Linked DNA regions of Caenorhabditis elegans. The protein of the gene in region 3 purifies or fractionates together with the protein of the main gene of each other region. This does not show direct contact. Each region holds a gene or a part of one and is shown on either strand. Other genes may lie near its edges.

Region 1 (5,041 bases), on a different chromosome or scaffold from region 3:
ACCGCAAGTTTGTTTTTGAAACTGTGTAGAATTTATCTTGGGCTAAAGTTATTAAATATCAATCTTTTCAAAATATTCTTAAAAAATTATTATTGACAGCCAAAAAATGACAATTAATTTGCCACTTTTTGAGAAAGTAATAGTAATATCGCAAGTTCAACTCCCTACAGTGTTTGAATGTTATTATTTGAAACGTCAACCAGAACCCTCAAAGGAGACAATTTTTTTGATCGACGACTTCCAAAAAAGTGGAAAACTGGCTCAAGTCTGAGAATATTTTGAAGGTACAGTTCACTATTCCTATGGTGCCAAAATAACAAGTTAACATAGTAAAATTATTTATAAAAAATGGATTGTTTTAAATTTATAGTCAAGAAGTGAATATTACTCAGTTTTTGTCATTCATAATTTTTAGAGTCGACCAGAAAATTTTTTCTCCTACGGTTGCTACACTTTAATTTTGTTTTAATTATTTTTGTTTTTTTTTTTTTGGTCGTTTTGAAAAATTTTATTCAGACTAAATTCCTACCGGAACTACCCCACTTTTAACCGTTCCATGAATGCTAAAATACTCTTCCATTATGTACTTTTGTTGGCAGTCATTTCAAGCGATTATTGCTTTTAGTTTCTCAGTACACCATCATGGTTCATACAATACTGTTGACTGCTGGCAGCTATACGGATAATTCCTGCTAATTTATTTGGCATAACGATGTTGCCAAACTGTACTTGTGGCAAAATTGTTTTGAATTTTCATGTTCTTTTAGTTGAGACAGCATAAAATATTCCAATTTTTTCCATTCCATAATATGTTCTGTTTACTGTACATTCTGTGACGAGCATTTTCTTTGTCTGACTATTCGAGATAGAAAGAAAAAACAACAAAAACATTGTGGACTGTTCTTTGTTCACCTAACACTCTTCAGTGAAAAACGCTATACATTTGTACATTCAGCTTCCGATTTGAAAGCGAATCAAAAAGAATAAAACGCGAAACTTCTTTACAACAACACAGGCAATATTGCTTTTTTTCCGTTTGCAGTAGCCAATTCGCTTTGAAGATTGATTTGGATAGGCAAACTTCCAAGGGCAACTGAAAAACACTCCAGTCAAGGGAACGGGAAAGATGAAAATTAATGATGCGGGTGTAAATGAAGATGGGAAAGTTTGGCGGGAAGGTTAACTAGGGGTTACTTTTTGGCTGAAAAAAATGGGGGTTCGGAAATAGAGCCAAAGGAAAAAAAATATTGATGTGAAAATTTTCAAATATTGAAAATCAAATTTAAAAGGATGGACCCAAAATCTGCTCAAATAAACAAATGTCGTAGTATAGTTTCTCGAAAATTTTTCAAATATTTTTATAGCCGCTCAAATTTTCACAAAAAAAATTAGCCTGATTTCAGCTAAAATCTCCAATTTTGGCCACTTTTTTTTCGATTTATCAATTTTGACTGAACTCGGTAGCTTTTAGGCCACGATAAAGTTTAGTCCACGTTTGGCACAACCTTTGCCAAATTTTGGCCCGAACTTCTGTTTTTTTTTAGCGTGGGCAGAAGTTTGACAAGAGTTGGGTCGCATGAATCCAAGTTTAGCCAAAGTTTAGCCAACTTCTGATCCAAGCTAATACTTTTTTTTGCCAAACTTGGACAAGAAGCTGGAGCCAATTGTCGAGTACGGAAGTGTTGTAAAAACTGGAAAAAATAGTTTTGAATCGTCAGAAAACTACTTAAAACAACTTTCGAAAAGTTTCGTTTCGAAATTTCTTCCTTTGAGAACATTTTTAGCATATACGTTCAAAATCTCTAACAACCTTGAAGCATCGTAAATTCTATATTCCCATTTTTAGCTTTACTCATTTTGAATTACAAGCTCAAACATTATACGAATTCTGAATCAATATGTGTTAGCACCGGAAGTGGTACGTGGCTATAGCAGGATCCGGCATTAATTTAATGTGATGAGAGCAGGAAATTTGTGTCTATCGCTTCCCCCGTCGCTATCAACATTTTCATTTTCAATTTTCACACCGCCATGTACGGCTTAATAATTGATCACATTGCTACTTACATTAAGGAAAAATATGGAGAATCTACCTGGTCAGAGGTTAAGGTAAGTGTTTCCCAACAGTTTTGCAGTGAGTGACCATGAAAGAAAAGCCATTCGCAACGAAGGTTGTGCAACCTCTCTAACTGGTTTCAAGGACGGTCCAATTTCTTGTTGGCGGTTCATAGGTCACCGAGATAGTCCATTTCCTGTTTGATAACATCTCCCTAGTGGCGGTGGCGTAATGAGCCTGTTATACTTAGAGTCGATAAGAACCCCCCCCCCCCCCAGGATTTTGGTCGGGTATTAATGTACCACTAAATGATATAGTGCTGACACATGTCACGACCAATCTATTTCGATTGAGGTTCTAGGTTACGGCAACTATCTTTGTACATGATTTATGCACCAATAGATTGCATGTTACAATGATTGTGTTGTTTTCTTCATTGTCAAGGTTATTTTGAGTTCACAACTTTTCAGTTCGTGTCGGGGGTCACCGACGATACATTTCAAATGGACAAAAAGTTTTCTGAAGGTTTATCTCACAAGTTGATTTGGGCATGTCATGATGTGACGGGGGATCCTGTGGATGAACTGATGACAAATATTGGAACAAGTTTTTACAAGTTTCTCACAAAGTTTGAGTTTAATAAGGTATACTATGTATTGTTTTACATACCTTATGTGAGTGAAAATTAAAAAAAATTGTTACCGTTTCGTTTTTAAAAAATACAGGTTTTTTTTTATCAGTCCAATTTTTCAAGGTACTACGCGTTTTGGGACGAACATTTCCGCAGTTTTTGAACGGATTGGACAATTTGCACGAGTACCTCCGTTTTACGTTTCCCAAACTCAAACCTCCGTCATTCTACTGCGAACACGAAAGCCGTACCGGTTTGACACTTCACTATAGGTTAGTGCTATAAGAGAGGAGAGGGGGGGGGGGGGCCGATGACAACTCATCATCAATAACTGGTTGTTTTGTACGCCGACTGGTATGCAAACCAAACCAAAAGTAACAAAACATTTAGTGCGTTTATTCATATTTTAGTTTGTGGACGTGGAAAGTGGTGGGGATGTTGAATTGTGAATGTGGATCATAGAAAAACGGGTACCTGTGTATTATGGGCACGAATTTGATTAATAAATTGAAATTTTATTCATTTGTGAAATTCTAGTCATTTTATTTAAAGGTAATTTAAAGGTAAAAGTAATGGCTTTGGGTATTTTGAACTAAAAGGCCCATTAGGTTTACAGGCTTAGGCTTACCGCATATAGGCTTACAGGCTTAGGCAAGGCTTAGGCTAACTTGCTAGAAATAGTTATAGGCTAGCTAGGGAACACCGTAAACTTAAGGTGGCCTAAAACATTGGCTTGAAACATAGGCCATTTGAAAGCTGAAACTGTAAACTCTAAGATTTTGATTTTAGTTTTTGCCCAAAACATCCTGGAAATGTTGAAAAGTAGAAGTTGTTAATCAGGAAACGTGTTAGTTGACAACTTTTTTCAAATCTCGCGTTTTTGGAGAGATACGACTAGCCAAAGTTAACGAATATTTGGCTTCGACAAATCTGAAATGGAAGTTTCTAGGTTGCCAAATGTGTTGTGCGAAATCAAAACTCAGATTCTTACAGATTACAATTTTAGCTTTCAAATGAGATATGTTTCATGCCAATTGGCCTCCGCAATTTTAAGGGGCTCTCTAGTCGTAACTAGAAAATGTTCATTTCAAAACTCGTGCATATACAAGATTCGAAAAAAGTTCAAAGATCGACATGTAGTTTGATGCTTGTAGCGGTGTTATTTGTTCACAAATAATTCCTTTCGCGACCGCTCAGTTTCCTTTGTGTCAAAATGTTGCAACTTGAAGATTGTGAGTAGTGCGTGAAAGACAGTGCACTCTTGACGATTGTTTCCTTCCGTCGTCGACAAATGTTTGATGATTCTCGCAGACCGAAATGTTCCTGGTTTGTCGTCGCAGCAGCGCGTGAAACTTCTTTTTTGTCTGTCTTGTTGTAAAATAGAGGGAACTTATGTGTCAGGTCAATGAGACACCCACCATACTCACATATGACCTAGAATTGAATACTTGCCCAGATACTTCTCAGAGAGTTCGTCGTGGCGGCAAAAACGCCCGATGACATATAATACGAACCCATTACTTTCGATTTGAAGAGGGATATGTCATGAATACCATTACAACGCGGATGTGATGATGTTAAATTGTACAAGAATTTAATCTAAAGTCTTTGGAAAGGGACAAATCAGAAATAGTTGGCTAGAAAATCGATAATTTTGGAAAACAAATATCCAATCTCAAAAAGATAGGTAACCTTATTTGATTTCGAATCGGCTAAAAATGTACCAAAATTAGAAAAAAAACGAGAAAAAAGCGAACAGAATGAGGATGTTAGATTTCAGCTCACTTTAATAATTTTTCTTTGAATTTTTTGAACTGCCATAAACTCGCTAATTCTCAAAATGGAATATAGTATTTTGCAATCAATTTGAGTTCCTGTTACAAAAGAAAAAACCACCCATAATGAACAAATGACGGTATACAAATTCGAAAATAATGGCTTACTTTTAGCTAAAATCTCCAGTTTTTTCAACTTTTCCGTAGTGCTACTGCATCTTTTATTACGTACTTTGATTGCTTATTTCAGATTATTTAGTTAATTGAAATCCATCTAACGCAAATATATATATATAACCGAAAATTGGCGAAAAGTGTTGCCCATCGGCTTCAAATTTATAAAATTGATCAACGAAAAAAGATGCAATAAAATATGGTAATTTCAAAAAAAAAGTTTTCTTCCAAAATTTGTGAGACGGAAATGTGGGAAAACTTGATATTTTAGCTAAAAGGCCCATAAAAAATTTGAAAACTTTTTTGAGAAGTCTCATTTCAAAATTTGTACTTTTGAGCACATTTTTGGTATACATACATATAAATTCGGAATTGTTTGAACCGTTCCTTTAACTTGTTTAACAA
Region 2 (3,144 bases), on a different chromosome or scaffold from region 3:
GTTCCGCATCTAAAAAAAGTAATTCACGGTAATGAACCGTTTACAATATTTTAGAAAATTGAATTTCATAAATTCAAAAATTGCAATTTTATTTTACAGTTGGAGGAAATCCGGAAACAATTTAAAACTTTCACGACGATTTGAATTTTTTTTTGTGGTTTTTTGTTTCTCTTTGATGATGGCCATAATTAAAGGAATAAGGAGGAATGCGACTTAATGAAAAAAATAAGAGAAAATTACAGAGAAAAAAAAAAGAAATTAGGTATATATTTTAATATCACACAAGATGCTGCTCATCCGTCAAACGGTGGAGGAGAGTCAGAATCCGACGAATCTCTATCCGGTACACCAGTTGCTGCGTCTTCATCGAGGAATAGTGTCAATTTGTCGTTGAATGGACGTGCTTGAGCGGCCGGATACTTTTGATCACGATCACAAATTCCTCGTACAATTTCCGCTTTTTGTTTCCCGCAAATGATGAAAGCAACGTTTTTGGCGTGTTGAAGAGTTTGCAAAGTAAGTGTGATACGAGATGGTGGAGGTTTCGGGGAGTCTGTGATGACGGAAACCCAATTTAGCTCGGTAATCTTCTCCAGCCGCTCCTTTCCAGGGAAGATACTTGCAGTGTGACCATCTGGACCAACTCCAAGGAAAAGAATATCGAAACGAGCAGTATTGTTGAGCTGCTCCGGGAGCAAGTATTTACGAAGACTGATTTCATAGTGTTGGGCGGTGAGGCAGGGATCCTTGAAAATTTGCATGGGCACAAAAACGTCTCTGAGCTCATTCGGGAATAATCTCAAATATTCTCCCTGATTACTTTCCTCGCTATCCAGATCAACGTTACGCTCATCAACCATAAAAATTCGAATCCTCTTCCAATTCAGCTGCTCTTGTGGCAAAGAGAGAATAGCTTTCGAAAAGACTCGTGGCATCGATCCACCGGAAACTCCAATACTGACTGTACCATTTTGATCTAGAAGATAGGTGAGCTTTTCCTCGAGATAACGACGCAGCTGAAGGATGAGCTCCTTTTCGTCGCCAGAAACGTTGAGCGCCGGCTTCATCTGAAAATAATTTTGTTTTATAAAGAATAAATACATTTGAAACGAGATTTTACATTGCTATTCGATACGAATTCGTTAACGAGACACATTGATATTCTCCACGGAATGAGCGGGGGCTGAGTGAGCGGAAATACTGAAAAAGAAGCAAGAAATAAAATCGTTTATGACATGAAAAGGATTTCTCTTCACGAAATAAACCAGGTTTATTTTAAAAGCTAAAGGAAGGTGTCATAAATAAGAAAAAGGAATTTTAATTTATTTAAACTGTATTATTATTATTCAGAAAAAAGCCGATGAAAACAGGAAAAAAACAAAAAGTGATAAATGTCTAGCAACAATACTCCGAAATGCATGCGCGCCCAGTTTATTGAGACGATAGACTATGCAAAAAGACGAGACGCAGAGTATGCAAGCATGCTCCACTGCACTCTTGTGTCGAAATACGAGCGAGTCCACGGATTTTCCATTGATTTCCGAGTTTTCTTCGCATATTTTTGCAGTTTTCAAAGCTTCATGATTTGCAATTTAATTATCAAATACTTAATATTGTTATTTGTAGTAAATATGACCACAAAACTGGCGCGATTCGCTCAAAAACGATGGATTTCTTCGACGACTTCCACATCAAATATGTACGATCCAAGAGTATTCAGAGATCCCGTAACGAATGTTCAAGAGGTTAATTTGTTTGTTTTAATCTATAAATCTTAACTATTATTTTAGCTCCGAAAACCATTGGATTCGGATGATGAGCGCAACTTTTTGTTCCTCAAAGCGATGAAAAGTGATGCGACACCAGTATTTTACAGAGATCATGTGGTAAACTTGCAATGCTTTGAATATTTTTTTAAAATCAAATACTATTTTAAAGATCGACAAACTAATTCGAGTGTGCACAAAAGACGGGGAAAAGGAGACTTCTCGCAAGAATGTGCTCAGCGCGTTGGAAATCATCAAGCGCCGGCAGTACAAGGCATGGGCAAAGGCTTCCGAAGAAGAGAAGAAAAGTATCGAATTAGACCCATTTCTTGTTGCGAAAAAGGGAATTAAAGTGAGAATTTATATTTTATTGACTGGTTAATTAAAAATAAATTCAGAATTGTCATCCTCTCATGAAGCTTCAAGGTGTAACCCGAGGAGGAACCACCTATCAGGTTCCATTTCCAATTGAAGAACCAGAAGCCGAGTTTCGAGCAATGAAAATGATGAGAGATATTTGTAGAGTTCGATCGAAACATGGAGAGACACATTTCAAGTGGGTTAATTTCTATTTTTAAATTATAATTTATTTAATTCCAGAGACATCCTCGCGACCGAGCTTCTCGCCGCCAGTCAAAACGAAGGATCAACGATTCAAGCGAAACAGGAATTGCACAAGACTTGTGAAGCGAATCGGGCATATGCACATTATCGTGCCTAATTATTCATTTTCTAGACATTCTATAATTAGCTTAGATTATCGTTTCTCTTTTGTTTTGTTACTTTTTTTTGTGTTTTTAAACTTTTGAATTGAATTGAAAATATCGATTTATTTCTTTCCGTTTTTCCGAAAGGCAATCATTATACCTTCAATACCTTTTATTTTAAAATTTGCTTTCATTAATTACTAATTACCTACCACCAGAGCTTCCAGATGTCGAACCAATCGGCAACAGTTGAGCAGCTCAGTGGATTCGAAAAGCAATATTCGCTTCAAACTGCGGAAATCACCTCGAAAATCGGCCGCGTGCACACTCTGCCATCGTCCGATCGAGCCGGAGCAGTTCAGGAAATTCGAAAAAGTTTGGAAGAAGTGAATGATTTGCTGGATCAGATGGAGCTGGTTGTTAGGGAGTTGGAGTCGAATACGTTAGTTTTTTTGCTTTGATTAAAATTGTAATTAACATAAAATTTGCAAAAAGAGAAAAAAAAACTGCGCCGCAGGGCTGCAAAATTCAGTACTTTTCAGAACTGAACGCACAAAATACGAACTTCGTGTTCGAAGCTATCAAAGTGACAAGAAACAATTGGACACAGAGCTGGAAAAAGCTATAAAAAGAGTCAGAGAAGAAGCTGATCGGGATGAATTATTGGCATT
Region 3 (4,096 bases):
TAAATAGTTAAATTCGACGAAAAAAGTATTCAGCTTCAAATTAAAATATGGAATACAACTGTAGTTATTGGTTATGATTATGATAGTGAATAGTTTTTATCCTAACATTCAAACGCTTCATGTTTTTCGATCTTACAGTTTTAAAATTTTAAATCGAAATAACGTTATTTATTTATATTTATTCATCAGGTTTGTTAGATCACATCAATACACTCATTTATGACGCATCTAGAGATGAATATTATAATAAAGAAATCATCTGACTTTATTTCCGCAAAAATGCACATTCATTTGCGTCAAGATTTCTGATTTGAACAAAAAAGTCACAGAAGTACATCATAGTTTTGAGGGCTTAGTTATTTCTAAAATTTATTTAAAAAAATCAGTTGTCGTCATTAAAATGCAAATTCTAACAGGGGCATGTCTTTGAGATTTTCAGTTATATTTTTGGAAGTCGATTTGTTTGTGAAGATAATTTTCGAAGAATTCGACTTGAATAAATGATTTGGAGTATCTTTTAATTATTTTGATTCATTTCGTTAATTCGCTCCTTATAGGAAATTCACTAAACAATTGCTGAGAATTTCAGAAAAACAAACAGAGTTGATGTCTCAAGTTTATTGAAATACAGAACTATAGGATTATATAATAATTAACAAATCTTATACACAGAAAACTAGACAAGACAAGAATTTTTTATAAAATGGAAACATCAAAGGATCATTGAGTTTTCTCGACAGCCAATTCTTTGCAAGTAGGTTCTCTGAAATAAATTGTTTTCTAAAACGAGGTCAGATAAATGTGGATTTTATATTTTCTATAACATCCACCTGATCAATTGTAATCAGTTTAAAAAAGTATCGTCTTCGGTTAGACAAGCACGTGAATTAGGAAAGTTTTCAAAATCTTGTTTTTTTTTCACTTTTCTGACTAAAATAAAACTCACTGCACCACCTTCATCTTCATTGCACTTTTATTATTGTTCGGAGGATCACAAGATGGTTTTGGTCCGGGAATCATTGCACGAGTTGGAACTGCAGGCTGAAATTTATTTTTAAAATTTCAACTTTAACTTTATTTTTCTTTTGAAGCTTACCTGGTCTGAAGCTTTTGAGATTTTCATGACAACAGATTGTTTCTTAGTCAGAGCATTGTTCATGGTCGATGGCTGTGAAGGCTCGAATTGCTTCAAAAAAGATTATGTAGAAAAAATGATAAAAAAGAACTTACGTAGCAAGAGACCCCAATCTGCTTTTCATTCAGCGCCAGGAATACACGTTCCGGAGCAATCGCACTCTCTTTTGTTCTTGTTCGAGGTGCAGCCTTCGCAGGTGTCTTCACAGGCGCATCAACAGGTTTTTTAGGTTTTGTTTTGATTGCGAGTTTAGCCAACGGATTCTCTTCATCATCACCTTCAAACTCATCCTTTTTCTCCACTGGTGCCTTGACGGTTATGTTGAATTTAACGTCATCTGGAAAGTCACTTATTGTATCATGTTTGCGTGACAAACCGGACGCCCGATTATTCGCGTTTTGTCATCATGGCTTCTAACGTGCCTACCTACGAGTGTACCTCACACTTGCCTACGTGCCTGCCTGCTTAAATGCATGCTCCATACCTACTTTATTACTTTTATTATCTGCCAATCTGCCTGTCTACTATTGAGTAACTCTACTTGCCCATTCTTGCCTGACTACGGCCTACCCAAAGCCTACTGACAATGCTTCAAAGTATCGAAAAATTACCATCATCCTCTTCATTTTTGATAGGAGGGGCTTGTATTGGAGTTGAAGGTTGTGAGCTAGACTGTGGTACTAAAGCATTAGCTGAGGTCTGTGATGCGATTGGACGAGGTGGTTCTTTCTTTTTCGACGACTGAAACTTAGTTTTTATCACATAGATTTGTTGTGAAACTTACGCAGAAAATTAAAATCAATGGTACCAACAGAATGGGAATCAAATGACAAATCAAGGTTAGAATTTCTGAAAGATATCATCAGAATCTGTTCAACTTGCCAACCTACCTAAACCAAAAACGACCATATTTTTTGGTGGAAATTTAGAAAAACTTTACGAAATGATTTGTTTTTCTTATCAAATGCACAATCTTTTTGATTTTGTTATCTTTTTTTAAAATCTTTTTTCAATCAATTGTTTTCTTGAATTTCACGTAAATAATTTTTTTTTTGGAATGGGAAGTAGATCGCCAGTGGATCAAATTTTTAACATTACTCTAACAATTCTAAAAATATAACCATAAAGCCAATTATAGCAAAATCTTATAAAACTCTTTGAAATTTTTTTACAGGAAAGTGCTGAAATATTTCAGGTTTCCCATATGATGGAAACCGACTCACAATAAGACTGTGGTTAGGGCTGTTATGAGGACGCCCCTCTCGTCCCTTGAATTTTATACCGGAGCGCTCGTAATTTGAAAATAAAGTCTGACATTGAGAATCAATTGTATCATTATTTACTCATTCACTTCTGGGGTTTCTGTTTTTGGTTATGGGGGACGCCGGAATCTGCTAGCAAAAATTGTGGAGGACATATGATTTGACAGAAAGTTTGAAAAAAAATCATACACATTTCAGAAAGTTACACTTAGAACTTTTTTAACCAATTGAGTATAAATTAACAAAACTGGCATTGACTCTTTCGTTGAATAAAATTTCTCAAAAATGGGAAAAATAAGTCGATTTATGATTTATTCAAAATTGCAGTTTGACAAAATAACATTCGTTTTTACATTTGAAACTTAGTACATAAGTAGTTAAGCTTGTAGAAAAAATTCCAGTTTTAGTAGACTTCCACGATTGGGGGGAAAACTGAGATAATTCAACCTTTGGACTATAAAAAAATTTCAAAAAGTTTTGAAAATATTTTTCAAAAATTTTCTATAGTAGCGACACTTCAAACACTAGAAATTGATTTACGTGAAATTTTAAAAAATGATTAGAGCAAAAAAATGAAGAGATTGTGCATTTGATAAGAAAAACAAATCATTTCGTAAAGTTTTTCTAAATTTCCACCAAAAAATATGGTCGTTTTTGGTTTAGGTAGGTTGGCAAGTTGAACAGATTCTGATGATATCTTTCAGAAATTCTAACCTTGATTTGTCATTTGATTCCCATTCTGTTGGTACCATTGATTTTAATTTTCTGCGTAAGTTTCACAACAAATCTATGTGATAAAAACTAAATTTCAGTCGTCGAAAAAGAAAGAGCCACACCGTCCATCCGTATCTCCGACAAACACAAATGTTGGAACAACTCAGTCTAGTTCACCGGCTTTAACACCAATACAGAGAACTCCTACTAAACCGGATTCTGATGATGGTGATTTTTGATACTTGAGCAGTTTTAGTAGACATGAAGTAGGCCAGTAAGTAAACCCGAAGACAGAACAAAACATGTGTAAAGGGCACGTACAAAGGCAAACTTATAGGTTAAAATATGGAATAAGCGTGTAGGCATGAAGTAGGCAAGTAGTATACAACCATGCACTTATAAAAATGGCTTATGATAAAAACGCGGCTTTGCGGTTTGCGATGGGAACATGAGATAATAATTTTCCAGATGACGTTAAATTCAACATAACCGTCAAGGCACCAGTGGAGAAAAAGGATGAGTTTGAAGGTGATGATGAAGAGAATCCGTTGGCTAAACTTGCACTCAAAACAAAACCTAAAAAACCTGTTGATGCGGCAATACCTGCGCCTCTGAAGACACCAGCGAAGGCACCTCGAACAAGAACAAAAGAGAGTGCGATTGCTCCGGAACGTGTATTCCTGGCGCCAAATGAAAAGCAGATTGGGGTTTCTCGCTACGTAAGTTTTTTTTCTCTCAGATCATCCAGCAATAATATTTTTTGAAGCAATTCGAGGCTTCACAGCCACCTACCACAAACAACAATGCTCTGACTAAGAAACAATCTGTTGACATGAAAATGCCAAAATCTACAGATCTGGTGTGTTTGTAAATGAAAAAATTTAAGTTAGTTTTAAAATAAATTTCAGCCTGCAGTTCCAACTCGTGCAATGACTCCCGGACCAAAACCATCTTGTGATCCTCCGAACAATAATAAAAGTGCAAT

What was found.
Region 1: the proteins of C10G11.10 (region 3) and gcy-31 fractionate together in Caenorhabditis elegans (co-fractionation; one large-scale study listed by BioGRID). This does not show direct contact.
Region 2: the proteins of C10G11.10 (region 3) and mrps-7 fractionate together in Caenorhabditis elegans (co-fractionation; one large-scale study listed by BioGRID). This does not show direct contact.

The regions. Positions count from the first base shown.
Region 1 is NC_003284.9:2,424,495-2,429,535, reverse strand, and holds the start of gcy-31 (Soluble guanylate cyclase gcy-31), read left to right. Parts: upstream 1-2,031; coding exon 2,032-2,109; intron 2,110-2,526; coding exon 2,527-2,700; intron 2,701-2,810; coding exon 2,811-2,959; exon of another isoform or gene 2,960-3,051; intron 3,052-5,041. UniProt on the Caenorhabditis elegans protein: Synthesizes cyclic GMP (cGMP) from GTP. May play a role in embryogenesis.
Region 2 is NC_003282.8:14,766,213-14,769,356, reverse strand, and holds mrps-7 (Small ribosomal subunit protein uS7m), read left to right. Parts: upstream 1-1,626; 5' UTR 1,627-1,631; coding exon 1,632-1,745; intron 1,746-1,790; coding exon 1,791-1,886; intron 1,887-1,938; coding exon 1,939-2,118; intron 2,119-2,164; coding exon 2,165-2,322; intron 2,323-2,366; coding exon 2,367-2,487; 3' UTR 2,488-2,584; downstream 2,585-3,144. Other genes in the region: Y57G11C.3 (Putative 6-phosphogluconolactonase), read right to left, coding at 294-1,067, 1,121-1,156; vti-1 (t-SNARE coiled-coil homology domain-containing protein), read left to right, coding at 2,701-2,915, 3,016-3,144.
Region 3 is NC_003279.8:6,304,312-6,308,407, forward strand, and holds C10G11.10 (uncharacterized protein), read right to left. Parts: upstream 2,074-4,096; 5' UTR 2,045-2,073; coding exon 2,026-2,044; intron 1,985-2,025; coding exon 1,920-1,984; intron 1,877-1,919; coding exon 1,747-1,876; intron 1,473-1,746; coding exon 1,231-1,472; intron 1,187-1,230; coding exon 1,097-1,186; intron 1,042-1,096; coding exon 947-1,041; intron 764-946; coding exon 721-763; 3' UTR 605-720; downstream 1-604. Other genes in the region: C10G11.1 (uncharacterized protein), read left to right, coding at 3,042-3,060, 3,102-3,166, 3,210-3,339, 3,580-3,830, 3,878-3,970, 4,020-4,096.